Linked DNA regions of Tamandua tetradactyla. The protein of the gene in region 3 purifies or fractionates together with the protein of the main gene of each other region. This does not show direct contact. Links are inferred from orthologs where the notes say so. Each region holds a gene or a part of one and is shown on either strand. Other genes may lie near its edges. The genes, in order: CD36, SKAP1, FYN and PDGFRB.

What was found.
Region 1: the proteins of FYN (region 3) and CD36 purify together in Homo sapiens (affinity purification with western blotting; 3 studies listed by BioGRID). This does not show direct contact. The link is inferred for Tamandua tetradactyla from reciprocal best matches to the Homo sapiens genes FYN and CD36.
Region 2: the proteins of FYN (region 3) and SKAP1 purify together in Homo sapiens (affinity purification with western blotting; 3 studies listed by BioGRID and IntAct, with this or other methods). This does not show direct contact. The link is inferred for Tamandua tetradactyla from reciprocal best matches to the Homo sapiens genes FYN and SKAP1.
Region 4: the proteins of FYN (region 3) and PDGFRB purify together in Homo sapiens (pull-down; 3 studies listed by IntAct, with this or other methods). This does not show direct contact. The link is inferred for Tamandua tetradactyla from reciprocal best matches to the Homo sapiens genes FYN and PDGFRB.

What each region holds. Positions count from the first base shown.
Region 1 is NC_135327.1:137,120,462-137,127,818, forward strand, and holds the start of CD36 (platelet glycoprotein 4), read right to left. Parts: upstream 3,010-7,357; 5' UTR 2,845-3,009; intron 1-2,844.
Region 2 is NC_135332.1:29,701,549-29,709,160, forward strand, and holds the start of SKAP1 (src kinase-associated phosphoprotein 1), read right to left. Parts: upstream 3,006-7,612; 5' UTR 2,925-3,005; coding exon 2,876-2,924; intron 1-2,875. UniProt on the Homo sapiens protein: Positively regulates T-cell receptor signaling by enhancing the MAP kinase pathway. Required for optimal conjugation between T-cells and antigen-presenting cells by promoting the clustering of integrin ITGAL on the surface of T-cells.
Region 3 is NC_135331.1:170,731,393-170,738,834, forward strand, and holds the start of FYN (tyrosine-protein kinase Fyn), read right to left. Parts: upstream 3,013-7,442; 5' UTR 2,897-3,012; intron 1-2,896. UniProt on the Homo sapiens protein: Non-receptor tyrosine-protein kinase that plays a role in many biological processes including regulation of cell growth and survival, cell adhesion, integrin-mediated signaling, cytoskeletal remodeling, cell motility, immune response and axon guidance.
Region 4 is NC_135346.1:30,946,860-30,953,962, reverse strand, and holds the start of PDGFRB (platelet-derived growth factor receptor beta), read left to right. Parts: upstream 1-4,094; 5' UTR 4,095-4,781; intron 4,782-7,103. UniProt on the Homo sapiens protein: Tyrosine-protein kinase that acts as a cell-surface receptor for homodimeric PDGFB and PDGFD and for heterodimers formed by PDGFA and PDGFB, and plays an essential role in the regulation of embryonic development, cell proliferation, survival, differentiation, chemotaxis and migration.

The DNA.
Region 1 (7,357 bases), on a different chromosome or scaffold from region 3:
TTAAAACTCATGATCACTCTAAAACACCTTTATTCTATCATCTCTAAAACATTGCAGAATAAGAATCAAGAAGGATACCTTGTAAGGGCATCTGCTACATTTCAAATAGGGGATAATGAAGTCCCAGAATAGAACAAATGAGCCTCCAAATGAATTTCAATTAGATTAAGGTTTTTTTAATTTAAAAAATCATGAAAAGGCTACAAATAGCCTTTTTTATTTTCTAAAAATAAAAACTGAAGAAATGTTAAGATTTATATTTCTATGAATGATAAACAAGAGCATTAAGAATGAGACTATAATATTTAAAGAAAAATCCTGTCCTTGTGTCACTTTTAATTTCCTCACTTCACAAGCACTGAAGGGCAAACAATACTTTACATTTCAGCACATTCTGGAATTCTTGGTGAGTGTAGCCAAGCTGTCTCTTATGTCCCTTCTCTAATGCTTGCCAAATTTCTGTCATTTCCTTCTTCAGATTATAGTGTTTGTGGGACAAAGGTTTCTGGTTCTATTTCAAAACATCTTAAACTACTTACCAGTGTACCTCCAAGTACCTAAGAGTGTTTTTTATTTTCTATATGACTTAAATTTGAAGACAGAAAACAGGGTTTTCCCTACTACCCTTCTCTATGAAGAAATAGCTAGAAAGCTCATGGAGGAACAAATGGCACACTAATTGCCCTTTGTAAAAGAAGAAAGTTTCCAGTGGTTAGCCAATTTCTGGACTTCGACATACAACACACAAAATAGAAAAACTAATTCTTTATTAAACTGTATTATTTTTATGTTCCTGGTGCACTTACACTAGTCTTAACGCTATTTCTTTTTCCTGAAGGACAATTTATTGTTTGTGATTGAGAGGCTTATTTTGGGCTAGGCATTATTTAGAATTCCTTTAATCTAATTCTTGCTCCACTCTTCCTCAGTCACTACTCATTCTGGATCACTTCTGTCAGGTGGCAGTGAAGTGGTAGCACAATATACAATTCTCTTCCAAAAAGCAACATGTGATCTTAAAGAAAACAATATATACAACTGACCAATCAAGACATTTCCTTTCCCTCATTTCTCATTTTACAGTATTTCTTTTCAACTGCAAAATTTTGTGAAAATGATTTCAAAGACTTTAACTATGAAACTTAGCTTATAAATGCTAAGAATGCAGATTAAATTCTTTAAGTTAGAAATCTAAATCAAATACCAGCAATTTGCACCAGATGTGAAATGAGCCAGAGTCACATCAACAGCCATATATTTTCATGCTATTTCTTTGCTCTAAGAAAAACATTCTCTTCCATTTAATGCAGTCTTATTCATTGATTTATCATAGCCTTAAAGCTTTTTTTCTGCATTCAAGAGCTTATCTTTTTTTCCCAGGTGAAATTGTTTTGCTATCCTCAGGTGTCTGCTTTCTTAAACTCTCAGAACGATTAATTACAAAGTTGTCGTCCTTTACAAAAGGATCCGATTCCAAATAATTAGTGTTTGTGTTTTACATCATTTGAAGATATTTCTCTACTCCTCGTCAGGATTACAGAAATCTCATAAATTTCCCCACAAAAGTATGCCTGTAGAAGAGTTTTAAAAGGAATATCAAGTTGTTTAATGTTTAGAAAATTAAGCCAGTCATTCTAGAAGAGAAAGGGAGAGTTTGTTCTCATTTCTATTAATCTCATCCAGAACTGATCTGAATTCTCAGTTCTCTCACAGAGAGTGAACAAGAAATTAACATTTTTAAAAGTATCAGGCTGGAATGTTTTCCCCAGAATTCAGCATAACTCCAAGCAACCATTCCCCAAATTAAAAAAAAAAAAAAAAAAAAAAAAAAAAAAAGCAGTCTTCTCTTAATGGTAAAGAATCTTAGACAATTCTTTCCCAGGCTTTGAGTGTCAAAGGGAATTGCCCCCCATCCCCCATTTTTTTGTGTGCGTTCCTTTTTTTGGATCAACATTTAATTTTGTCTCTTCATAAGTATAACTTTAAATATACTTTCTGAATATGTCACTATAAGGTTACCTGGTGTTACATGATATGAAACATACCATGTAACAAAAAATTATGCTATATAACAAGACCCTCCTGAAATAATAGATACCCAATGCCCACTGTCAACAATTTCTTTGACCACGAAATAATCAGTGAGTCTTATGTATGCCAATACTTTTGTTTTCTTCTTTCTAGGAGTCACACTGTTAAGAGGATTTTAGAACATTTCTTCATGTCTACCTTGATAACAAATCAAAAAAACATTTGAGAATCCCATGAATGAAAGTCATCCAACTTCTAGTCTCACTAAAAATGTGCTTTTCAATTCGGAAAAAGAAAAGTTAATGGGCCGGAATATTAGAGTATCTTCTCAAAAGGCAATATGCAAAAGAGCCTATATGTAGGCGGACAAAAATTTGAGTTAGGTAAAATAAGAAATCCATCAAGATTAAGACATGCCAGATCAACTTAGAGGACCTGAAGGGCTACCAATTTCAACTAAAAATACACTTTGAGAACTTAACAGATGTTTACTTTGTTGCTACCTTCTAAATAAAAGGCATGTATACATATATGCAAATGGAATTTCACAGGATGAATTTAGAGACTTGTGAAAAGGTAAAATTTAAGTGTTAAAAGTCTGCTTTCAAAAAAAAAAGCCTACTTTCTTCCCATCAATCTAGTTGAGAAGTTACAAATACAGTAGAAGAGGGATTGTAGATTAAATTCTTACATCAGAGAGTATTTATCTTCTTAGAGAGTTTAAGAAGGATTATTATTAAGTAATAGATTATAGTACATCAACGACAGAGACCTTTAGAGCCACACCCCTAAACAAAAAAGAATTCTGCTCACCGACTTCTAGAGAAGCTTGCTTGCCCAGATGTAGGATCCCAAGGCTAGCTTCAGAGAGACTGTTGTAAGGAAAGACGCAGAAAGTAAACACTTGCAGCTGAGAACTCAGAAATAAAGCCCAGAGTGTTGCTCACTCTTCTGTCTGCAAGGATAGCTCGACATCTGAAAGCCATTGACATCCTGAGACTTCCAGCACTTCGGACGCATGTCTGACATGAGATAAATATAGATCCCTGACACCTGAGCCATATGAAATGAAAATTAACTCAAAAAATCTCACTCATTTTGTGCCTCAGTTGAGGAAAATAAAAACCCTTAATCCTTTTCCTGCTAAAACCTGTTATACTCTTTAGCACATACCTGCTGTGCTTATGAAAATAGAAAATTCAAATAATCAATCACTGGCAGTTTATCTAATTCAGCAATCAATTTACTTCTCTCTTTGATTACCACTTTTGGTGATATGGTAGCAACTATCTGAAGTTTTCCTTTCAGGATTAAGTACAAAAGCAACATGAAATCGTGAATATTGGATATTATTTAAAGTCAACAGGTTTTTGTTTCAGTAGCTTTTTGAGGGTGAGTCCTTGAAATGTGAGTATCTATTTGATAAGTTCTCTTGGTATGTTTTCTCCGTTTATATCTTCAGTAGTAATTTCATCTTTTTTGTTGATGTTTGTCTCAATTATTTGGGGCAGGAAGTGCCATGCCAAGGTGCCATGGTTTAAAAGTTTGTGTTTTTTATCCTTTTGGTAAGTTGCACAGTGCAGCTGATTTGAGATTGAAGTTTGCCTAGAACTCTAGTAAACATATAAATGAAGCTCTAACCTAGTCCTGAGCAGACCCTGCGAACAAAGTTACTACTCTGAAAATAAAATGGAAAAAAATTCTAACATATCACTTTCCAGAATTCAGATATTAAATATCCCTATTTCTATCTTCAAACTGGTAAGCTGAGAAACCAGGGAAAAGCTGTTATGCTTTCCTGATATTGAGGGTGGAGGTGGAGGCGGGTGGGGAAGAAATATTTTCAGTTAGTATCTTCTCTTACAGAATGGCATTAAAGTAAAACCATGAACTTTGGAGTTTTCTTTTCCTGAATGGAACTGGTTTGTAACCAGCAGTATTAAGTATCTCTGAAAAAAAACAATGGCTCTTTTGCCAAATTACCAACACCAGTTTTCATAGTATTGTAATAATAAGTACATTTATTGAGTATCTGATGCTGTGCGACATAGGTATCAAGCTATCTTATTCTCTTTTCCTAATCCCCAAATAGCCTTTCACTTCAAGTTAAAGAATATGTTAGGCCCCACTTTAAGGAAAAGAAAACTGAAGTGTGGAAGGAGGAGTGCTGACAATGGACACAAAGTTAATGCATGATTCCTCTGAGAGTCAAACTCACCTAATTTTAACTTGAATACAGGTTTTTTTTTCCCATTTTAGAATAGAGTGACCAGTTGAAAATTAGTTCCCATCTACCCTTTATTTGTATCAGATTAGCCATTCGATGAGCATTTCCAAGGCTTCTTTTTTTATTTATTAATTTGAGCAAACTTAGGGTAAGAACAGAAATGATCCCTCAGGAGAATTTCTATGATACCAAGAAAACCCCAGATGCATCATGCCCCTGGCACAAGAAAAGGATGGAAGTTTATGTCACAGCTCTAACCAAGAATAGCTCCACAACTGCAGTTGAACTGCATTTATATTTTTCAACTTCACCTCTTCAACTTCCTCTTTTCTTTTACTTCTCCAATTTATACAAGCAGAATTTGACCTGCCTTAGCCTGCTGCCCACCTGCTCCCCACTGGGGCACCATGTTAGCAGCAGGAGGTCTGAGAAGTGGTTTCAGTCGCGGCCGTCCAGGTGGAGAGGACTCAGCCAGTCCGTCGGGTCACACGGTCATCACTGGAGACATCTACCTGGGAAGGAGGGCCGCGTGTTCCTAAACATCCTAGAATGGAACTCTTCTCATGATGGAAAATAAAATGTCCCAAGTGTATAAAAAGTTTTTCTGGTACTTGAACAAGGCCCTTGTTAAACTGAGTGTTTAATCAAAGAAGCATGAAGACAAATGTTAAAAATTCAGTGAACAAAGCTATAGATATTTTCCTATAAACCAAAATAAATTTTTTAAAATGTCTGATATTCCAAGTACCAGCATCTCAGACTGTGGATTATGTCCTACAAATAATAGGAAATCGTGAATTTCTTTTCGATGTATGTGCATTATCATATACCACCCACTGGGTGGGGGGCAGTGAGGGAGGGTGGTGGGTAGTGGTGGGTTGACTTAAAAGAGACCATCTGGTAACTGAGTAGGACAGGACTGAAGTTCCGCTCTACCCAGGCAATCATAAGAAATCACTCTCAACTCTCTTCAGAACTGAACATTTCATCACAGAGCACCAATTAATACATCTAGGACCTTTTTTTCCCTAAGTGCCCGCCTTTCAAGTGCTTATGAAAATAAACTTTGAAATAGGCAAAACCGAAACCTCCTCTGGCCTTTGCTCCATAATGAGTGGCGTAGTGTTAAGACATTAATGTTGAACCAGCAGTCGTGCTGCTAATGACAGCTGTTGCCAGCTGTTGATAAAATGTTCCTCAGATGACATTATTGCAAAATTTCCCTTCCTGTGTGGAAACTGTTTTTCTTGTCAGCAATTAAATTCATCATACACATGCTAGACATCATCAGTACAGTCACAGTAATATACTCATATTTCCTTTCCTTCCTAACAGCTCCCCAAACCTGTTTCTCTGATGCTTCTGGATTCTATTCTTCAGCAAGTACTATTAACAGCTTTCATTAAAGCTGAAGTATGACATGTTGAATATGTTTAGGACTTTAAAATTAATAACATGATTCTTTAAAAAATTCCTTCCAGGAAAATCCAAATTTAAAATTGAATATTTGCGCTTTATTAGTATAACACTGCCCATTGTAAAGGCTTGAATCCCTGGCTCTGTAACATAGCAGGGAGGGTACTATTCGTGGTTTTCTAAGGACAATTTAGCATAAACCTCTTAATAAACTTGAAAACAATGAGTAATACTCACCAAGACACTTATACACATTAATCTTGTTAATTATTCTTACATTTAGGAAAAACATTCAGAAAAAACTCTTGATAATTATTGGCTTGCTTAAAATGTGTATTTAAGATAAAAAATATTGAAGGGCTAATTTAAAGCTGATTCTATGAGCACACTCTCATAGAGTTCTCAGGGTTCTCTGTTTATTTGTTTGTTTTACTTATTTGTTTGCAGTGTATTTTAGTTTCCTGGCTGCTAAAACAAACACCATGCCATGGGTTGGCTTAAACAATGGGAGTTTATTGGCTCATGCTTTGAGGCTAGGAGAAGTCCAAAATTGAAGTGTCAGCAAATGGAAGCTTTCTGCAGAAGACTGTGGCACTCTGGGGATGGCTGCTAGCATTCCCTGGTCCTTAGTTTTTCTGTCACGTGGCAATGCACATGCTGGCCTCTCCTGGCTTCTCCTTGATTTTCATCCTGTTTATAAAGGACTCCAGTAATCTGGATTAAAGCCCAACTGAATTCAATGGGACCACACTTTAACTGAAGTAATATCTTGAAGAGATCTTATCTACAAGCAGTCTGCACTCACCAGAATGAGGACCAAGAATAAAAACATGCCCAAACTGGGGTACGGAATTCAATCATGAACACTCATTCTTCAGTTAACATAAAAGAAGGTATCTAGCTCAGTGGTTAGCACAAAGTCAGGTTCAAAACATAAATTCTGAATGAAAGACTGAATAATAAATGGATGAGTGAGTGAATGGAATTGAGCCCATATGAACACAAGTAAGCAAAGTTATATTGCAATATTAATATATCTGTGTAATATAGGCTATCAATGGGAGCTTTCACAAAGCCATCCTGTGGGGGTGGGGTGGGGTGGGGTGGGGGGAGTGGCAAATATTCCAAGTAATGCCTTAGGGACTGAGAGCCTGGGAAGATACTTCTTACAAAGGACCAAAGGAAACTGAAAGAACCCAGTACAAAAAGGAAAAATAGTCATGCATGTTTTACAAAAACCTTGCAAGAGTCTTGCACACAACTGGCTATGAGTACAGAGTTTGTAACCTAATGGAAACTTGGGTCCCCCTGGACCAAGAGCAAATAATATCCACAGGACATAAAGTCCTTCTTCCAGCACAACAAAACAACAGGCTGGCAGCCAATTATGGTAGCAACCAAGCAGATGTCCCACTGGTTTTTAAATCAGACGCAGAGCCTTAGTGTGTTAAAATTATTACTGCCATGCTGCAGCATGTTTATAGAACTTTGCTTGATGTTATCAGCTAATAATCAGACAATTCTCATGAACTTTCTTGGAGACAGATTGTGCAAAGCATTGTCTAGGGAGCTGTGGCTCTATCCTCTGCAAGAGAAACATGGGAAGATTAATTATTATAATTCTGAGTCGATCAGAAAGTCAAGCTCTCCAGTTGCGATCTGCAGCTCTCACATCTCAAGTTC
Region 2 (7,612 bases), on a different chromosome or scaffold from region 3:
AAAATTAACATTTTGGAGTATATTGTTCCTACTTCTTCTGAGACTTACAGAAACATATAATATATAGGAGTTTTAGTTTTGTTTTGTTTCAAACAAAAATAGGATATTAAACGTACTATTATGCACCATGCTTTTTAGTCTTAACATGCCATGAAAAGAAAAAAGAAACATGCCCTGGCCATTTCCCAAGTTAATATATAGAGATACATCACACATTCTTCATGGCTGCAAAGTTTTCCATATTCTGGATGTTCCATGATTTATTCAACCATCGCCTCATCCTTTCCCAACTCAAGGATATTCAAGAGAGATCCTTGTGCACATACTTCATGTACTTTAATTTCAGTAATGCAGTTTCCTAGAAGTGGAATTTCTGAGTCAAATGAAGCATTTTTAATTGTTTAACATTTTATCCTTAAGCTAAATTAGTTTTAAACCTTCAGAATTTGTTTTCTCTTCTTTATTATGCAAAATTTCAGCATTAACCTTTCACAATGTTTTGCATATTTTATTTTTAAAAGCACATGTTATGTGAAAAGCATGCTCCTGTCATTTATGCCCATGTAGTTATAAATAAATAAATGCCTGTGTTATGGCTTTGATGGTCAGCATTAAATCAGTGTGCTAACACTTATGCCTTGGTTTGTGAAAGTAGTAAGTCATCATGGAAACTCCACCCCCCAAGGCCATGCGGCAGCTCTAAAATTGCAGCTCTTACATCCTGTTACTCCCTCCAACTGAGTGACTAGAGATCAGGACCTACATATTTTCTAATTGTCAACAGTTAACCTTAAAAAGGGAGGGAGAGACAGTAAACAGCAACAGGCAATAAACTGATAGCCATTTTGAGTTTCTAGTATCCACAAATTATTCATAATACAGTGAATTATTCTGCTGACAGAAACCAGAGATTGTGTTCCATAAAAATAAAACCTATAACCAATAAATTGCTATTTTTACACGAGCCTTTCAAAAGCATATTCTTCAAACACTGAAATAGAATTACTGATTGAATCCCACTTTACATTTTTTTCTCTACTTCAGATTCAGGCTCTTAATTGCAAACTTAAAAAAAAATACATTAACCAATTAAGCTCCTTAAAATTTAACCTCAGACTCCTCATAAATTCCAAAGACCTGCGCACCAACCGAGATTGTTAAGATGCAGCAAGTTTGATATAGAAGTATGTGACATGCAATTAATCTCCATTCATACCCTGCTCTACTTGTCAGCAAACAAAGGTTCTACTTTAGAAGGAGATCTGAAGACTTCAATTAAAAAGTCAGCTAACAAGAAAATAATCCAAGTTAAAGGAAGGTGGCAGGTGTAGGAATGAGTTGTTTACCAAAGTGTCAGTTTTGAACAATAAAGGACTACACAGCAAAAATGTTAAAAGAGTGAATTTCATTGCAAGGCTCTGAAATAAAAAGAAACTTTCTACCAAGTATACACACAAAAATGAAGTATAGCTTAACAAGCTTGTAAAACAGGTTTCCTCTCAAATGCAAGATGCCAATAGAAAGAATCACGTTATATCTTTAAATGCAAAGACAGAATTAAACTTTTTTACCACAGTTTCTTCTCTCCTGAAAACCAAAAGACACTTAGAGCCTCATGTTACAGTCTAATATTGAGCCAACAGGCAACCCAACAGCAAGAGGGAAAAGGCTGGACTGACACTTCTTTTACCCTGCAACTAGTTTTCTACTCCTAAAGTTTAGATTCATTCAAATCATAATTAAAATGGATTTTGGAAATCCAAAATTTCCACACACACCCACAAAAAAGACCCTAGTTGACAGTTTTTACATAGAAGCAATACAGGATGGAAAGAGTGCTACAAATCCAGACTTGCCAAATATTTGATTAGGAGGCATTTATACCAAGATAACAAGGTAATGGAGATATAAAACCAATTAAATTGAGGGAAACTGAAAAATAGCTGCTTGCCAAAAGTATGACCTCCCAAAGCAGGCCATCTGTTAAATATGTGTCAAATATGTCTCTTAGATGCCAAAAGGCTTAATTTTGAATAGTTTCCTCCTGGGATTCCTATGCAAGGGCAGATTCCAGGCCTCTGTTCTTCCTAGAAGGTCAATTACAGGAAAGCAAGTAAAAATTACTTTCACCATGAAAAGTGTCAACTGAGATACCATATTGTATACAGCGAAGAGTCTCTTCTGGGTGCTGGAAAGAAGTATGTGCTGAGTGTTAGCATGGCCTTAATTTTTAAATGATGGTTGGACACTAGAAAAGGAAGAAATGCAATAGTGAATAGGGAATATTAGTTGGCCCTGGTTTGATAATGAGACCCTTAGAGGGCTGCAGGCTGGAGATGGAGCCTGTGGTTTCAGCGCTGCCCAAACCTCGCACTAACCACGAAGCCTTGGCCAGCAGAGGATCCCCATAAACTCCTCACAGTCCCTCTGGGGAGGCTCGGGGCCTCTAACCAAGAAGATGAGGGTCCTCTGGGAGAGGTGAAGAAGTACTGGGAGGAAGGGTGAGGGGGGCGAAAGCCTACAGGTGCAGGGCGGAGACTTGAGGGAGAAGAGACAAGTGGAAGACGAGGCAAGGTGGCATGGGGGACTAAGAATCTGGCCTGAATCCTGGGAGGTTCAGTGGTGCGTGTGTGTGAGAGAGAGTGAGACTAGAGAGAACCAGAGAGAGAGAGACTCTGAGGTGAGAGGATGAGAGCCCGGTCCTGGGGAGTTGAGAACTCTAAAAGCCTTGAATGTTCTAGAAAGAGGTGAGTGATGGCGCGGCCCAGAGAGCGTGGCCTTGGAAGCCCCGATGCCTCCTCTCCTCCCTTCAGGTCAGCGCCTGTGGGCTTCGCGGGGGGTCGAGGGAGAGGCCGGGGCTGAGCCAGGGCGTTACCTTCCAGGAGCCAACGGATGTCCTCGGGGAGGGTGGCGGCGGCCTGCATTGCGCGGGGGCGGTAAGGAGGCCCGAGGGTGAGGCGGGAGCGGGCGCGCGAAGGCCGTGCGCTGAGGCGCGGGCGGGCGGCGGGGGGAGCGCGGGGCAGCACCTGCACCCCTGGCGCCGCCGCTCGGCGGCTGCCTCCGCTCGCCCAGCCGCAGGGCGGGGCGCCGGCCCGGGGCGGAGCCTGGGGAGCCGCGGGCGCAGCCCGGGGGTGGGCGGTGCCCTGAGGCCCGCAGGTGGAGGGAAATGGGGCGGTGGGCGGTGCCCTGAGGCCCGCAGGTGGAGGGAAATGGGGCGGTGGGCAGAGCTGGGAGCCCCGCGCCAGGCAAAGCCAAAGGGTGACCGCTCCAGGCCCCCGCCGAAACAAAGGCTTTGGTCAAAGGAACCCTGTCTCTGAGACTCTCCATCCTAAGCACCGGACGGTTGGTCTCAAGGTGAGAGGATTAAAAGCAACCGTGGGGCCCAAAATAGGGTGAGGAGGAGGAAGAATCTGAAGGAGAGTTTAGTCCGAGTCAAGCGTAGCACCGTTCAACCCCCGATCCCGTCCACAACGTCCATGCCCGGGAAACTAGGACAAAACTTTCCCTCTCTCAGGCAAAGCTCCCATGCTTAAGGAAAATGACCTTAAATCCCAATAAATACTACAAAGCCACCAGCATTTGGGAGAATAGAAGTTGGAGCGGAACAGGGAGTCATCCGAGTGTCCCTTCCTCCTTAAGGCTGAAAGATGCAGGGAATGGAAGGGGTGGCCTGGGGGAAGCTGAGGGAGAAGGGTAGAGGGCCCTTCTCCTCCAAGATCTAATACGGGGAGGAGAGTGACAAGATTACAGAGAACAGTGTTCTCTCAAAGTACAATAGGCATCAATATCCTGGTTGCGATATCACACCGTGGTATTGAAAGATGTTACTACTGGGGGAAACCAGGTGAAGGAGCACAGGGTCTTCCTCGCTGTGCATTATTTCTTAAAACTGTATGTGAATCTACAATTATCTGAAAACAAAGAGTTTACTTTAAAAAAAAAAAAAAGTACAGTAGGCCAAGCACCTTGAGAAAGATGCAAGGTGCCATGGGAGATAAAAGAAGACAGATGTAAGAAAAGGAGAAAATGCAGGTACATGTGACATTTGAGGTGGGCTCTGAACAACATACGGAATTTTGAAGGGTCAGGAGGGCTGTCCAGGTGGAAGGGCCAGAAAAAACGAAGATGAGAAAGCCTTCCTTTCAGGCAGCAGCTAGTAGCTAGTGTTGGGAAACTAGGGTTGTTAAGATAATTTGAAGCTCTATTGTGAAGGACCTTGAATATCAGAATCGGGATTTTGGACTCAATTGAATGGGCACTGGGGAGCCATTGACAATTTTTGAGCTGCGGAGAGACCTAAATAGAACCCTTGTGTAGCATGTGACCTCACATACATCTCTGCACCTCTGTGGTTTTCCTTCTTTGTTAAATGGGGTTTCTATTCTCAGACTCGACCCACACAGTGTGTGGGAAGGATGGGGGACAGTAAGAGAAAGGACAACAGGAAGAGGGATGAAGTGGTTTTACAATAGCCTCAGGGGGAATAAAGACTGACTCAGGGAGGTGTTGAAGGAAACAACAAGGAGAAACCATCCTTAAGGACACATGGTAGCAGTGCAGGCCCCGCTAGCCTACTTTCCCCTGGCTGAGATACAGCCTTAAGGTTGGGGGCTTAGTCTTTTAAAGTGTGCAGTGGGGTTGAGCCATCTTTACTGTCTGCCTCCTGAGATTTGAAGAGAAAGAGTACCTTGGTTTCAGGATTATAGGCCTGCACTGCTACCACAACGGAGAGGTTGGGAGCAGAAGCTGGCTCCTTCCTGCCGCAGAAAAGTGTAGCAATGGACAGACTGGCATTCTCCAGGCTTCTGAGCAGTACCAGGTACCTCCTGAGGCAGTTTCAGCTGCCCCGCTGCTCCTTCCATAAAATTGTAGTTACTTTTTTAGTACTTAGGCAAAGAAAGGTAATGAGAGCTCTGTATTGTTGTCATAATTTTTTTTGCAAATCTACAACTGTTCTAAATTATAAAGTTTATTTCTAAAAAAAAAACAGCAAGGGAAACAAAGTTCCTCCCATATGTAAGCCCAGCACTTTGCCTTGTTTCCCTCTCAGGGATGGAAGAAACTTTGACAAACCCCATTCTGCAAGGATATTGTGTCATGTGCTAATATAGGCTACAAGCTGATAAGTTATTTGGTAAGGAGCAATACACCCAGGTAATTGTACATCCTCACAGGTTTCACTCACTGCCTGTCATAGCTTACTAAAGCAAGTGAAACAGCAGAATTTGCAACATAGGTATTTTACATCCATTCTTCCCCGCAGGAATTTCTGGGTTTTAGGAGATGGAGGTGGAGGGAGGTGCAGGTTGGGTAATGTGTGGTGGGTGACTGGCAGATTCCAATACGGTATTGTCATGTTGCATCAAGGTTCCTCATTGCAGACAGAAACCTGCCTCCGCACATGAGCGCAGCCCCTCCTTAATCATCTGAGAACCTGGTTCAGCGGTCAGCCTCATTCCTAATGACATTCTGTTAAATGGACAAATTCCTTTGAAGCCTTGTCCTTCTTTGAAATCCAATTTTGCAGGAAGCCAGATCTGATTTGGAGTAGCCATGGAAACCACACCGAAGAGTCTTAGAGGAGGTAAGGGGAAGCAAGGCAAAACGTGATAGTCAAGAGTCCTTTACTGCTTTGTCAGAAATATCAAAGGGATCTGGAGAGGTTGGCAGCAGACGCGTCCCTGTCCAGGTCCTGTTCTGTGTGGCTGGGTACCATGTGGCTGTCATGGAAGTAAGCAGCCAGCTGTCTCTGCATACTGGCAGGAGGATGGAGCAGAATACACAAATCCCAGGTCTGTCTGCCTCGTTCTTTTTTCCCTTGCTTTAGCCCCAATTCCAGCACGTTCTTACCAGACCCTTCCTAGCTGCCTGCCCCTTAAAAGCAAACAACAAAAGAATGGCAAGGTTAAAATACAAGACCCTCACTGATAAGAGGTCCTTTAGAGCAAAGGCCATGAAATTAATCTAAAATTCCTTGTAATTAGATAAGATAAGGATATCTAAAGAGATGCAGAGCAGCCAGGAATGAAGTCCGGCAGCAGGACATGCAGACAATATACCGCCTTGTCAACAAGGGCCTCACACTGTCAGCAGACAGAAGACAGAGAAAACACAGTCTATGCTGCTCTCTAAGCTGCTGGAGAATGCCGGCTGCATATTCTCATGCCAGGTGGGCACTCACTAAATATGCATCCGTGGGGCATCCAGAGGGATCAATCAGGAAGAAACAAAAGCATCTGGCACCCAGAATGGCATAGTATAAGAACAACTGCAAGCAAAGCAGGAGCCGGCTGGCACTCTTCTGCCCTGGGTAAAATGGATCTGAAGAGGAGACTGTGGAGGGCAGACTCTCAGGCTTTATTCTGAGCTGGTTATTGATCCCTGGATGCTGGGTCATGACACGCAGCGGAGCTGACGTCTGCCCTGTGGATGTGCAGCCGCTGCATCTCAGCCTCTCAGTCCCAACCCCATCAACCGAGTTTATTGACTCTTTTATTGACAATGCTGAGACCTAATGAGGACAAGAGCTGCACACTTCATTAAGGGCTGTGGAAGGAGAGATGATGCATCCTGTCCTGTAGATGCCAAGATCAGGCTCACCACATGCTTTGCAGGGCTCCAGAAACCGAGGCTCCTGCCACTTCTGAGGCCCAGGAGATGAGCACAAGATGCTACCTTGGGTCCATCACTTCAGTGCCCTTAAAATGTGGTATTTCTACAGCATCCAGAGACCTTACTCTTACCAATCAGGTAACCATTAAACACAGGAAAGTCCTATTAAACACACACACACAGATGCACTGCGGTGGTCACCCCTTTCCACTCACACTTCTAGATTCTCTGTGCTAATACAGGCAACAAAATAAGCAGGGTCTCATATCAGAACAGGGAACATTCCCATAAGCAAGCTATCGATAAGGCAGAGCCTCCGGACAGAACGAGGGCTATGAAAACTCAAAAGAATCTTCAAGGTAATCAAATTTAAGACGAAGAACAAGCCCACACCCTGTCCAGGACCACACAGCTCACAGGGAATGTACTGGCCTTAGAGTCCTGAGTCTCTTGTGTTTGTCCAAAGCTCTTGATGAACTTAGCAGTTCCTGGGCTGGATAATTACAGCCTGGGGATGGCCGAGCAGTTGTGTGAAACAATCATTGTTGATCCTCTTCCTCCTAAATAACATTTCTTTGTTTGTACTTTATCATATCTTTCTATTACTCCCCTTATTATTTTTCCTCTATATTCCCCAATCACTTTTTTTTTAGTATCATTTTTGCCTATCCCTTAGACCACATTAAACATTCCCCATGGGCACCGATGAACCCCACAATGGCCCTAAGGACCACAGAGGTTGCTGACGGTGACATTCTCTGTCTTTGATTGGTTCTCTTGGGAATGGGGGGAGGGGAAGCAATGGGAACTTGGAATGTGTCAACTGCAGCCAAATGACACAGCGTGCTCTCTGAGCGAACCTGGAGGTCCGCTATATGGTTAAACTGCATGGGGAGACAGGTGGTGCTAGGGCCAATTTTATGGTAGATATTTGCAAACATGTTAACTTTTGGAAACTGTAATGGAGTTTCTTTTGGGGGGCAAGGGTGTAGATTAAAGG
Region 3 (7,442 bases):
GCAAGAGTGCTTGTCTGCCGTGCCGGAGGACCCCGGTTCGATTCCCGGCCCCAGCCCATGTAAAAAACAAACAAACAAACAAAATATAATAAAACAAGAAAATGTTTAAAGATGTTTCCCTTCCTTCCTTCCATCCTTCCTTCCTTCTCTGTCTTTAAAAAAAATAAAAAATAAAAATAAAAAATAAATCTCTATGGAGTGGTGGAACTACATGATTGGAGCATGGGACCCAGAGGAAAAACACCCACTGATTAGAAACACCCATATTGAACTTTTACATGCGCAAGAATAGATGTCTATTGCTTTTGAGCCATTATATTTTAAGGGCCCATATGTTACAGCTGCTAACATCAGTCTAATCAATACAGTGCCTTGCACTTTCCAAGGACCTCATTCACATTCATTGAGTGTTAAGTGAAACGCTGAGGACCCACTAAGGTACCACTTGGTAGGAAACCCGGTTAGAGCAGTTTCTTCTCTCGGTGGTGCTGGCTAACTTAATGGAGAAAACAGATTCATGCCAAACATAAAGCCTGCTATTAACATTTGCAAACAAAATAGTGTGGTTGTGTGTGTGAGCAGAGGAAGCATGGGGATTCCTTTGAGGGGCGAGAGTGGGAAGCTTCACAGAAGAGATGACATTTGAGCTGGGCCCTCAGGGTTAAACAGGACTTCACCAAGCAACTCAGATGGGGCTAGCCACTCCAGACTCGGAGCAAAGGCACAGAAAGCAGTGTGTGCATTTGTTCAGATTCAACCTCATCATGAAGCCTCTTTAACTTGGTCAACTGTTTATTGTGCACTGACTCTCCTTCCTGGGTCTGCGATCAAACAAACACCCCTTTGTTTTTATAGTATCCTCATTAACCCTATTGCTTTTTCTAATATGAAAAGCTCCATGATGAACATCCTTAAAAAGTGCAGAAGCAAATCTTTAATGAGACATATGAGCTGTTTTCTGGTAAAATTCTTTAAGAATAAACTCAAGACCATTCTAATATAATAGTTGAGGAGGCATGCATGCTCTTAGGAATGAACTTACGTTTTGACATGATCAAACTAAGCATGTAAGTCACTGGCTTACAAAATGGAACATAAGCCCCAGATTTACAGTAATGTTTCCTCTTTCGGAGGAACATAAAACAGACAGATTAGAATTAAAAGATTTTCTACATCCCCTGTTCATAGTTATAGTTAACAAACCACTTCCTCTAAAAGTCTGTGAGTCCCTTCATCTGAAAGCACAGTTCCCATGAGGCAGGGACTCGAGGAGAAAGAAGCACAAAGGGTGGAAAGTGTTGCAGTTGCTTGGGTGGTGAGAGAAAGGATGTGGGCGTCTGCAGGCTCTGCTGAAGCAGGGAAGAGAAACAGTCTCCAGCCCTCTTCCAAATGCCACTTCTACATGTTTTACCAAGGTCCCCAGGTATTTATTTAAATGTAAGTGTACCAACCACACTGGGAAGACAAGATTTCCTTTCAAAAGACTTCAACACACAACACCGTGGCCCTAGACTTGAGAGAAGGAAGTCAGGGTGCCTCATTCTTAATTAACACCAATTTAATGATCTGATTCAGAAACAAAATTCTGCTGCCCCACACCAATTTATCCAACCACAGATCAAGGTACCCATCCTCAAAAGGTGGGGGAGGTGAGGACGGTAGCCCTCCGAACAGTAAAGCAACTCGAGACTACTGCTGAAATCATTTCCCCCTTAAATCTAGGAAACACTGCAGCTGCCAGTCAACACTACCGGTTCAGTGTAGAGCACAGCAAAATGCCGGCACCTGCTCCCTCCGCCTCTGGGGTCCTTTTATATTTTGGTACATGTGGCAGGAAAGACTCTCAGACAGATGACCAACTGCTTCATTTGGGAGGAAGGGAAGCCCCAAGGAAGAGAAACAAAAAACCTCGGGTTCATCCTTGGGTACTCTGTGCACTGCCTCTCTCTGCGCTCAAAGGGCCCTTTGTGTCACACACACACACATACACACACAAACGGGGAGCCTGTGTGATTTATTGGGAGGAGGAGGGCCAAGAAGGGTGATCTTATTATCCCTCTTCTTAGTGAGTCCCAGCAAATCTCTACCCTGGACTTAAAGCTCAGTGGCCTCTTTCTGGCCCAGTCCCCTCCGCCTGTGGCCGCGGAGATAAGCGAAGGGAGGAGACCAAACAAAAACAGCCATCGATCTAGGGAAGTAGAGAGGAAATCCAGCGAGCGGGGAAGGGAGGAGAAAGAAGCTGGAGAGACCAAGACCAGCAGGGGTGGGGGGGCAGAGGAAGAGGAGGGAAGGCTCCAGCACGGGGGAAAGGGGAAGGGTGGGTGGGTGGTGGCACAGGAAGAGTGAGAAGGAGGATGGGGGAAGCGCAAGGGAGGTGCCAGAAATAGGCAGGAGGATGCGATAGGGAAGGCGACGGCCGCAGAGGGAGGAGGCCGAGAGGTGGAGGAGTGGGGCCGGGGTGGGGTGGGGTGGGGAGGGAAGCAGCACGGGGCATCAATTATTAAGTGATTACATCATCCCTGACATTAAAACAACACACAGAACCCCATTCCCCGCGGGGGGCACCGAAAGGAGGGCGGGGGCGGAGCCCGAGCCTGGGCCAGCCTCGCCCCCAAGCCAACCCAGCCTCGGCCGGCGCCCGCTCCGGGAGAGGAATCGCTTCCCCCTAGCCCTGCGCTACCCACCCCTCGCGCCCCCCGCAGCGGTGTCCTCCCGCGCGGGAAGACCCCGAGCACAGGCAGCTCCCCGGCACTCTCGGAGGCGGCCCGGAGGCGGCGGCGGCAGGGGGACCGCAGCGCGGGGCCCCGCGGCAGGGGTGACGCGGCCCAGGGGCGCAGGCGGCCCGGCGCCTCTGCAGCATCCCCGCGGCCTCCAGGGCTCCTCCCCGGCCGCTTACCTGCGCGGCGCTCAGGCTCCGGAGCCCATTCACATGGTCCTCTCCGCGCCCTCCTCCAGCGCGGCCGGGGCGGCTCCGGCTGCTCCTCGGCGGGCCCGGGAGCCGGGGGGCCTCCGAGAGCGCGGAGGGGGCGGCGCCGGGGTGTCCCCGGCCGGGCTGCCGGATCCCTCTCAGGCGCGGCGGCGGCTTTGTGTGCGCCGGACGAGTCCTCCGTGCGCCGGGAGAAGCGCCGCGCGCCGGGTCGGAGGAGGACGCACGCCTCCGAGGGCAGCCTCGCCTTTGCTCCCGCGGCCGGCAGGCGGGCGGGTCTCGGCGGCCTTCAGCTCGCGGCGACCCCTCCTCCTCTCCCGCGGCAGCCCCCTCCCCGCCGGCTCCACTCCTGACAGATGGCGCAACTGCAACAACGCGCGCCGCCGCCGCGGCCGCTCGCTGCTACTCTCGCTGATGCTCCAGCCCCTCCAGAGCAGGAGAGGAGCGAGGCGGGGGCGGGACGCACCCCGAGAGTGGCGGGCGCCGCTGCCCTATCACAGGGAGCCTTTGAGAGCTGCGGGCGGCGACCATTGGTGGCGGGGGCGGGGGCGGGGCGGCGGTGGGTGGGGCCGCGGAGTGGGTTGAGTGTTACTGTGGCAGCTGGCATCCTGGCGTGCGTGCAGTGTGGGGTGTGCGGGCCGGTGCGAGGTTGGAGCACTTGAGGGTTTTTTGTTTGTTTGCTGTAAGGTTTGTGCGTGGTGGTGAGGTGGTGGAAGGATGGGGATAATGACAGCTGCAATGCCATTCCCCTAAACCATGGGTACCTGCTCGAAAAGGGAGTGTCTTGCTTTTCTCGTGTCTTTTTATGTGAGGGTGGGAGGATGAAACGAGAAAATGTTAGGGAGGTGATAGCAGCGTGTCTGATCAAAGTGAAATGAGTGCGGAGCGAGGTAGAATCCCAGCACAAAAACTTAGAAAAGCTGGGATAACCCTGGAAATGCACAACGAATAAACAGTAGTAGCAAAAAGTCCAAAAGTTAGGAATTAATTTATTAGTTTCCCATTTTCGTGGGTACACATATCTATTTATTTTCAAGCAAAAGTCTCGAGAAAGGATTACTGCAGTGGGGAGCTGAAAAAGTCTGGGGGTTGAGGAACCCACAATCACAGGGTAGAGATTTCTGTTTGTACTCCCACCACTCCCCACCCGGAACCAGGGTTAATTTTAGCCACTGGTTGTCTTTGGTTTCCCATGACATTCAAACTTTTCGTGTGTTTTTTTCCCTGCACTGAATCTGAGCTTTTGCTTTTGCTCAGATTTTCCTTGATGAAATAATTGCTGGTTTAGTATACAGTTGGGAGTGCATCAGTCTTTATTTCCTATCCAGCTTTTCTATGGCAGGATGTAACTTCATAAAAAGAAACACTTTGGCTTCCTGATTTTCTTTATAGGTGATTCCTGTTTACTGAACGTTCTACTTCAAGGCGTGCTCAGAGTCATTCTCCTTAATGATTTTGGCAAGAACCCTAGCATCCCCTCTTAGCAAATCCAGTGTTCTTAAGAAATGTAAGGGAATCAACTTCTGAGTCCACGCTCAAAATCTATTATGTTACTTCTCATTGCCTACAAAAAAGGTCAATGTAGTTTTTTTAAAAAGTCACTCACTTTTGCTGACTTTCTTTTTGTACATGGTACATTTTGAAAGAGTTCTAAACGTTTATCAAACTGTCCATTTTATGGTTGAAGGAAAGAGAAGTAACTAGTGATGGCGGTACAAGGTGGTTACTGGTCAGGTTTTTCTGTTTTCTCCTTAATCAAAATTAGAAGTTAAACTCCATGTAATTCGTTACATAGTTCCAAGAAATGGAACCACAACCAGGAAGTGAAGATTTCCAGGCAAGAGAAGGCCAACCTTATCTACCAAGAATTACTTATGTCAAGAGAAGGGGCTCCGCTTCTTCAGTGCTTAACCTGGCATGGCTCTCCTAGGTTTATATGGGTTAGAATGGACAGGCAGTTATCTAGAGCAATGGCTCTCAAACTTTAGTGTGCATCAGGATTAGCTGAAGGAGCCTGGTAAAACATGATTGGTGAGCCCCACCCCCAGACAGCTGATTCTGTAGGTTTGTAATGGGTCTTAAGAATGTGCATTTCTCTAAGAAGTTTCCAGGTGATGCTGGTGCCCCTCTTCTGGAAACCACACTTTGAGAACCACTCCCCTACAGCTGGTCTGTCTAGTGCAGTAGTTACTAGCCATATGTGGCTATTGAGTATTTGAAATGTCCTTGAGTACTTGCAATATGGCTAGTGCAAATTGAGGTGTGCCATGGGTGTAAAAGACATTGGATTTCAAAGACATAGCACGAGAAAAAGAAAGGAATGTAAAATAGCTACTAAGTTATACATCGATTACATGTTAAAAGGATAAGATCTATTATTGAAGTTAGTTTCACCTGGTTCTTTTATTTTTAACGCAGTTACTAGAGAACGTTAGATAACATGTGTTATTGTCCAATTTATTTCTATTGGACAGAGCAGGTCTGGAGGAGCGGAGTTGTCTTAATTAGCTCCACGGTGCACTGGCAGAAGCCTCATAAACAGGCAAGTCCCTTCCCCTTTCTGGACCTTATTATCCCCATACATAAAAATGGGGAAATAGTAAAACTGATCTCGCGCTATTATCATAAAGACTAAATGCATGTGGAAGCACTTGGCGCATTCCTTCCTCCTTTTAGAAGACAAACTCTTACATATTCCCAGAAAAATCACTCTTAGTATATAGAACTCCTTGGAATTCTGCATTAGAAATCTGGGGCAGGTGGTGTCAGGCATCACATTGTTTATGACTTCTTCCTGAGGAGCCACTTTTTAATGTCTGTAACTCTAATAGCCTCTTGATCTAATTAGTGGACAAAAAAAAAAAAAGACAATGCGACTTAAATGACCTCCTCAGATCAAGACTTCATCCTGATTTTGTCATTTTTCCCTTGCCTACTTTTATCTGCTGCCCTTCTTAAATGTAGCTTTAAGTGGATTTGGCCTCCTCAGGAGGATTTACAAATGGTCTGAACAAGTGTGTAGAGTTGTGCAAAAAAAGATCGGATACTAATGTTCACTTTAATCCAGTGTGTGGATCTCTACAGAGAACACGATTCAAGATCCACAACCCCATTTCTGACCCCCTCAGGCAAGTCATATTGTCCTTTCTATCCACACACCCCCTCCTCAATTTTGTTAACTTGTTTCCTTGTGGACAGCTTCAATTATACAAAACAGAATTTAGGCATTATTCTAGAACATCTCTTTGACTTGATTGGTACCGGTTATTTTAGTTTTTCTATTTCATCTAAAATGTCCTCTTTTAATCTTTATTTTTTTCACATCTGAATTTCTTATTCTCTTCCTTTTAAAGTAGCATTTTTCTTATTTCAACTTATTAGTTCAAATGTTTTCTTGTCTTATTATCACATAATCAACAAGGAAATAAAGATACTCACTATAAATGAAAAAAAAATGTGCAAAGGAAGTGTGTCCCTAAATGGCAAAGAGGTTCAACCTCACTTGTAACCATAGCAATACAAAGATGTAATTTTTTCAACTACCTAGTTGGTCAAAGACATAAAAGGGTCTAGAGAAATGGGTGCTCCCACACTACTGCTAAGAGTGTTAATTGGTACAACTTTCCTGGTGCGAAACTTGGTAGCACCTGTGAACAGGTGAATTAAAAAAAAACACATACCTTGGAACCAGCAATTCTAATTCTGGGAAAGAATGGAGCAAATCAGCAAAGGTATACCTTTGAAGGAGTAATTGTGCATTGCTCACAATAGTGAAAAATTGGGAAAATCTAAAAGTCCATTAATAAAGGATTCGATATGTAAATTATGCTACATCTATAGTGGATCACTCTTCAGCCATTAAAATGATAATGCTGATATTTATTTATTTATGTGGAAACATTTTCTCAATAACTAAAGAGAAAAAAGTGAACAACAAATTAGCATGTGTGTGCATATATATGTACAGTGTATGTAATATCTATTATGTAACAGTGTCCCATTATTTTAAAACTTATCTCTGTTTATAAATTATCATGGAAGGAGAAGCATATCAGAACACGCACAAACGTTTTAACAGTGATTTTCTCCAAGTTATCCAATTGTAGGTCACCTTTATTTTTTATACTTTTCTGAATTTTCAGAATTTTTCTGCATTGGGAGAAATAAACTGTCCTTAAACCTTTTCCTTCATTTGCTACCTTAATTTTCCCCTTTCTCTTCCTCCTCCTCTTCTCTGATGTTTTTTCCCTTGTGAAAGAGCAATGCCGCAGGGGTGGTATCCAGAAGAGACTCCCTGCCAGGAAACTGGAGGGAGTCTACCTGCAGTTAGCTTTCTAACTTCTGGTGGATCTCCCAGGACTTGTAAGGATGATTCTCGAAAAAAGTTCACTGAGAGAATGGGAGACCACTGAGAAACTGATCTCAGGGCTTACACTTTCAGTACTTAGCATACCTGGTTTGCTGTGATACCTCCATCTCATCAAATCCTCATATAGAAGAGCTACATTTTGTTAAA
Region 4 (7,103 bases), on a different chromosome or scaffold from region 3:
TACATCCTCGAGCACGTTCTGGCCCTCCTGGGCCTTAGTGTGTCCAATGAGGAGGAGACGTGTGGCCTCTGGGCCCTGCTGTGCTAAGGATCCTTGAGCCATCTGTGTGTACCAGAAGGACTTGCCCCAGTTCCTTGTGGTCCTGGAGCACCGAAGTGGAGGCCACCTAAGAGGCTGGGGAGAGGCTTAGGTGGGCAGTGTCTCAAAGCCCTTACCTCCTGCAACCCTCGCAGGCCTTGGTGGCTGCCGTCTGTCCACTAAGGGCAGCCCTGGGAACCTAAGGTGGGAATATGGCCTGAGGTCTCCAAGGACTAAGGCCCCATCCAGCCTGCAGTGTCAGTGTCCAGGCAGTGGGCACCGATGCTGTGTGATATATATCCCCATGGAAACTTTTTTCCTGTTTGGAGTCTTTTTGTGCCACAGGTCTTTGTTGTAGACAGTGGACTCTTAAGTTGCTCAATTAAATGACCATTAAAGCTCCGAGTTTTAAAAAAAGAAAAGAAAAGAAAAAGCTGAGTATCCAGGGGATAAGAAGGAGGGTAGCTTCCACTTTGTGCCTTTTGTGGCGGTAGGCTGCAGGCACAGGGGTGTACCTGCACGGGGCATGAAAGGATGAAAAGACATTGAGCTGGAGTCAGGAGTCCTGCATTCCAGGTCTCTTTCTCCCTGCTAATTTCCGGCAGGTTCTTTCCATGCTCGGGACCTCAATGCCCACGCCTGTGCAGTGGCTGTGCTCTTGGAGCACTTGAGGCCCTGGCATCCAAGGTGACGGCACTGATGCCTGGGACATATGTGTTGCTTCCTTGGCCCGTGCCTGGGGAGTGTGGGTGCGGTGGGGGTGGGGCCGCGTCTGGGAGCGTGGGAGAGCCAGATGTGGTGGCCGCTGGCCCTGCCGGAGTGAGCGCTGAGCCGGCCTGGTGGGAATTCTCCCACTCAGGCTCCCTTTCCGGACACCCTCCTCCCCCTGCCCCACTGAGAGCTGTGGCTTCCGGCTCTGACAAGCGTGGGTGGGGGTCTGAGGAGGGGAGTCAGTTGAGCCCTGTTCCCTCCTTCAGGGAAAAGCTTGGGCCTCAGAGTTTAGGCAAAAGCTGTGGTTCCAGGCTCGGTTTTGCCAGTGACACATTGTAGGGCCTTGCAAAATTGCTTCGTTGGGCCTCAGTCATCCTGGCTGTAAAATGAGCGGGTTGAACACGTTCCCCTCCAGCCCTGGTAGTGGACTTCTGTGACAGCCGCTCCTGGTGACCCCTGAGAATCAGGCACCGCTGGTGGAGTTTTCTCACTCTGCTCTAGTCCTCTGTTCACACGCCTTCTGGATGTGGCTTATTCAGGTCTCTTAACAGCCCTGTAAAGTAGGCACATTTATCTCCACTTTACAGGTAAGGAAACTGAGGTTCAGAGAGCTCAGATAATATCAGTGGCCAGGGTCACACAATTAGGAAGTGGCAGAGCTGGGTTGGAACTCAACCTTTGAGCAGTACCAGGGTGCTGCGGGGAGGGGAGATGCTGAACCCAAGGCCCAGGGCTCCTCTCCCCTGTACCTCTCTCCCCATCATGTTCCCAGCATGGAACAGGGTTCCCGTGCTCCACACTCTGCCCACCCACTCTCAGCCCAGCCCTCCCCAGGCCAGTCTTGTCTGAAGCCATCAGCTGGGTGGGCTGGGCTCCCAGCATCTGGGCAGGCAGGGGAATGCTTGTGGCTCGTCCTGTCCGCAATGGGGCTGAGCCTATGCTGACCACCCTGGCATGTCAGTGCTGAGCTCCCCTTGTGGCAACCATGTAGCCCTCTCAGAGTACACAAGGGGAAACTGAGGCCCAGAGAAGAGAGGGCTCAGCCTAGGCACACACAGTAATTGGTGGCAATTCAAATGAGGGAAATTCACTATTTCAATAATTATACTTCCAGGCACTGTACTAAACCCTTTTAAGTGCAGTGCTAATTTGCAAGGGTTTTATGAGTCAGTCCTTGGATTCTCTCCATTTACCAGATAAGGAAACTGAGGCTCAGGAATTTAAGTGATATAGCTCAGATGTGGAGAAGTTGGGATTTGATCCCAGGTCTGTCTCTGGCCCCAAAGCCTGCCTTCTTATGACCCTTCGGCATCAACTGTCCAGCTCTCAGCAAGTGCCCTGTGGTGCTCCATGTGGCTTAGCACCAACCCCTTCTCAGCTGAGAGGAGGCCCCATAGCCCTAGTGCCCACCAAGGGTTAATGGTGGTAGGGGCTAAATGATTCCAGATGGGCCAGCGGAAGGCTGGGCTGGCCGGAAACTGTCGGCCGCCAGCTTCCCTAGGGAGCCACCACCAGCCGCCCCCTCCCCTCTGCGCTACATATCTGGCCCCCAGCTGTCCCCCTGCCCGGGGCTCATCAGCCGCCTCTCCCTAGCCAGAGTCCAGCTCTTAGGGAAATTGCAGCAGAGCAAACCTAGGGCTTTCAGGTATAGCGAGTTCACCTCTGTTATGTACAGATGATGAAATTTAGGCTCAGGAACGACAAGCGACCTCTCCAAGGTCAACTAACAGATACGTGAATGGGTCTCCTGACTCCCAGGCCAGCTTTTATGGGGACTAGGAAGTTGAAATGCCTCCTTAAACCCCCTCAGCTGTCTTGGTCCCAGCAGTTGGGCCAAGGATTCAGAGATGAATGGTTAGGCAAGTTCCAGAAGGGGAGCCGCAAATTCCTCAGAGAGTTTTTGGGCATAAAGAGTCCTGTGTGGGTCTAACACTGTGATCTCTGGGGTCCCCCTACATTCCCCTAAAATTCTGCTGCCACCAAGCCCTGGGCTTTGGGAGGTTCTCATGGCCTCCCCACCCCACGGCATGGGGCCAGCCTGAGGACTCTTCTCTCTCCGTGCAGCCCAGTCCAGATGCTAGGCCAGGCAATCCCTACTGGGATAGGACCAAGAATGATCACAAGACAGATTACCATCATTGGCGTGGAATCCCAGCTCAAACAAAACCCTGCCCTGGGAACAGGGGGCTGGGTGGGAGAAAGGAGGAGAAGGGGGTGGGCAGAGGTACAGAGGGCAGAGGGGAAGGAGCCCTGGGTTATATCAGCTCTACCTGTGTGACCTGGGATTCCTTTCTTCCCTTCTCTGGGACTCAGTTTCCCCATGTGCACAAATAGTGGGGGCAAAAATGGGCTCAATGCAATGCTCTTAAACTGTTAGCCCTTTAGCATCTAAGGGCTAGGAGGGAGTGATTAGAGACATCGTCAGGGCAAGGAGGCCAAGGTAAAAGAAGAGTGTGGGAGGTGAGAGGCCTAGCCAGGGGACCCAGGGAGCCTCAGCAGTCCCTGGTAGGGAAGCTGGAAGTAGAGCATACCAGCTACTTAAAAATATCTGTTAATTTTGACTGAATTAAAGAGAGACAGGGAGGGGGTAACCTAGGAAGAAGGCAGAGCAGGAGAACTGTTCTACTCTGAAATGTATGTTAGGATCAGATAACCTATGCCCCTTCAATCACATGGCTCATCAGACCAGTTCTGCTCCAGTTCTGCTGTTGCTGTGTGAGCTTGGGCAGCTCATTTTCTTCCTCTAGGCTTCAGTTTCCTCATCTGTAAAATGGGACAAATAGTCTTTTACTGCCCCTCCCCCCAGAGGCTTTGAAATGATAGGAAGAATACATCTGGAGATCTGAAGATGTGTGCTTTCCCTCTCTGCTCCAAGTTAGCTCTGGGCCTTGATTTCTTCTTCTGATAAGTGACTTATAATCCAAGCCATCTCTTCTCAGAAGTACTCCCCGATTCCCGGAGGCCCCATTTAGGTGCCCTCTTAGCTCCCTGTCCTCCCGGGGATACCTGCTTGATCACTGTGTGTCTCCCCATCAGCCTGTGTCTTACTTGCAATCTCATCCCTTGCTCCCCGCCTGGCTCATTAGTGCTCAGTAATACTTGTTTGCAGAATCACCCACATGGCTCACCAGAGCTCCGTTTACAGAGGGGGAACTGAGGCACAGAGAATGTGCCTCCCTGCCTCCACGTGCCATGGCAAGAGGAGCCACCACCGTGACAGGCAATAGGCAAGTGGGGCTGGGCCACTCTTTAATAAAAGTGACTCAGCGGCTGGCTGGTGTGGGCTGCGGAATTTCTAAACATCCCTTCACATCCTGAGAGAGAGTGAGATGGGAGGGAGCAAGCAGAGGGGAAAAGAGGAAGAAAAACAAGAAACTTGGGGGAAAAGAAAGAGAGAGAGAAAAAAACGTGAAATTGAAAACAGACGCACGCGTCCGCCCTCCCTGCCCTGCCTCCCCCCTTCTCCCAGCTGGGCCAATCGGAGGCCGCCCTGCAGCCTTTCCCCTAAAGTGGGGGGGCAGGGAAGCCCACAGTGGTGTGAGCTCCTGGGGCTGCCAGTGGCCCGGCAGTCCCTGCCCGCCCTGTCTGGGACGTGGGATTGCTCCGGGAGCAACTTAGAGCCACAGAGGACAACAACGAGAAAGAGTGAGCCTGGCCCCTTCGGACCAGCCGCCAGACAGCAGCCTGCACCGTGCCCAGTGCAAACAGCCAGACCCAGGGCGGCCCCTCTTGGCAGCTCGGCCCCTCCCGAAGGATGCTTTGGGAGTGAGGTGAAGCTGGGCTGCTCTGCACCCCTGCAGCCCTCCCACTCCTTCATTGTCCAGAGGCTCCTGGATCCTGCAGCCGCCCTGCCTGCCTTTCTGCCCACCCATTGCCCTGTCTCCACTCTACCAGTCTTCCTAATAAGAGGGAGAGGGCACTGAGGACTTCCTGGAGGCGGTGGCAGCCCAGAACCTGGGACTCTGTCCACACCAGAAGGCATTGAGAGCCAGGTAAGTGCTGAGACGGGGTAGCCGTAGCCCCTTACCCTGTCCCCTTGCTCCATCCTGCACCTCCTTGTAGGTCAGAAAAAGAAAAATATTTTTAACAAAACCAGATGGGAGGAGGCTGAGAGATTGCAGGTGATGTCAGGGCTGGAGGAGCCCGTTATCTCCTTTCCCGGCTCAGGCCGCTTCCGGGGTGGGCTCTGCCTCCGCAACTCTGCTGCCCCTTCCTCAACAACAACCTCCAGTGGTTTCTGGTGGGATGCAGCTTGGGGCCTCCAAAACACAGCATCATCTGTGGGGGGTAGGGAGAGCTGGGAGGGGCGTGAGAGGGGAATTGGGGGATGGCAAACAGGGTACATGGACCTCAGGCACCCAGCCCCTACCCCCAGGCCCAAGCCTTGTCCCTAAGAATGGGACTGGCTCTCTTCCAGCCGGCCGCCAGGCAACCTCTGGGGATTTAAATGGATTTGCAAATTTTCCGGATTCCTAAGATGTCCTTCCAAACCCCCAGGGGCTGGGAAAGTGCGAGGGCAGGGTAGCAAAGGGGGCCCCAGCCTACTGTTTGCGTGGCTGGGACTGGGGGCTGGGGCTTGGCTGTCGGATCTGGGGGTCCCCGTGTGAAGAGGGGGTTGATTGGCAAAACCCTTCCTCCCGTGCCAGTCGGCTGCTCAGGCCTACTCGCCGTCTGCCTCCTGAGCTCCGCTCCTTCTCCGCTCCGTTCTAAGACATAAATCTGATCCCTCCAGCTTCCTGCTCAGAATCCTTCTGTGGCTCCCCAGGGCCTGTAGAAAACCCCAGCCCCTAATAACAGCTGCCACTGATTGATACTTGGGGTATGCCAGGCACTGTGCTGAGGGCTTTATGAAAATGATCTTGTGCAACACTCAGCCCCCAGAAGCAGGAGCTGTTTTTAAACTCCCCTTTACACATGAGGAAATGAGGCTCACAGCAGCCACATAACTATAGCCACACATGAGCTAGTGATGGTGGAGAGTGGAGAGGTGGTAGCCCCCTCACTACTCTGAATCTGGGCCTTTTGTTCCTGCCAAGCAGATCACAGGCTCCCCAGAAAGAATTTATACCATCCTGCCTGTGGGCATTTGCTCTCCCCTTTCCCCCTACCTGGAAGGCCTTTACTCATCACCTTCACTTTTCCTTCAAGGCCACTCCCTACACCTTCCTCCTCCATGCAGCCTTCCTGGCTTTTTCGGTCCCTGGGTCACTCTCAGCTCTGAACTCCCAAGCAACTGTCTTGTACTTTGTGCTGGAACCCTGTTGCTTGGCTTTCTCTCTCTCTCTTTTATTTTTCTTTAGATGGGCAGGCACTGGGAATCTAACTCGGGTCTCCGGCATGGCAGGCAAGAACTCTGCCGGCTGAGCCACCGTGGACCACCCGCTTGGCCCTCTCTTGTTTGTGTTCAGTTCATAACAAAGAGAAAGTGCCAGCCTCAGGTCTCCCCATCTTGTGCCCAGCCCTGGGCAGAAGTGGGGCTGGGAAAACGTGCTGTTGAAAGAGAGGAGGGACTGGCTGCAGATCTTCTGTTCCCAAGTGGGAGACCAGAACCCAGGCCTCCTGCCTTCCCTTAAGTGTCCAGCACGTAATTCCTATATGCCACATTTCCCCATTGCAAGGAGGGAGGGGTGTCCTTGCCCACGCCTGTGAGCCCCAGAGCGCACAAGGCCTCCCTCCAAAGAGCTCTTCATAGCCCTCCCCTTCCTCGGAGCAGGAGGCAGGAGCATCTGTGGACATATCAGGCGTGTTGGTTTCATCATGGAGCACTCACGCCGTGCCAGGCATAGAGTCTGGTACCTCACAGGCCTCAATCCTCACAGCAGGCCTGTGAGGATTTTGAGATCAGTGTTGATTTTAGCCCTGTTTTGTAGGTAAGGATACCGAGCTCAGAGAAGCTAAGTGACTTGCCCAGGGTCACACACCTAGCAGGGTTGGTATTTAAGCTGTGGTCTACCCGAATCCAAAGCCCCATGCTATGCAGGGAGGCCCCGGCCAGAGGGAGAGAGTCTCCATCCTCCCGCAACTTCAGTCTTGTCTCAGGTCTGACCTTCTGCTCCAAGACCCGCCTGGGCCCTGGCTTGCTCCTGAGTGGGGAAGAAGCCCATCTGGACAGGCCGCTCCTCTCACAACCGTGGTTATCAGGCAGGCCTCCCTCCTCTGGGGATGACAGCCATTTCTTGGGAGGACGAGCTGGGACTTGTAATTACCCACAGATGTAGGGCAGTGGAAAGCACCGCGGATTCAGAGTCAGGAGGCTCGGCTGCTGCCCTGGCTCTGCTTACACCCTCTGTGTGCTCAGCCTCAGGCCCCACGTC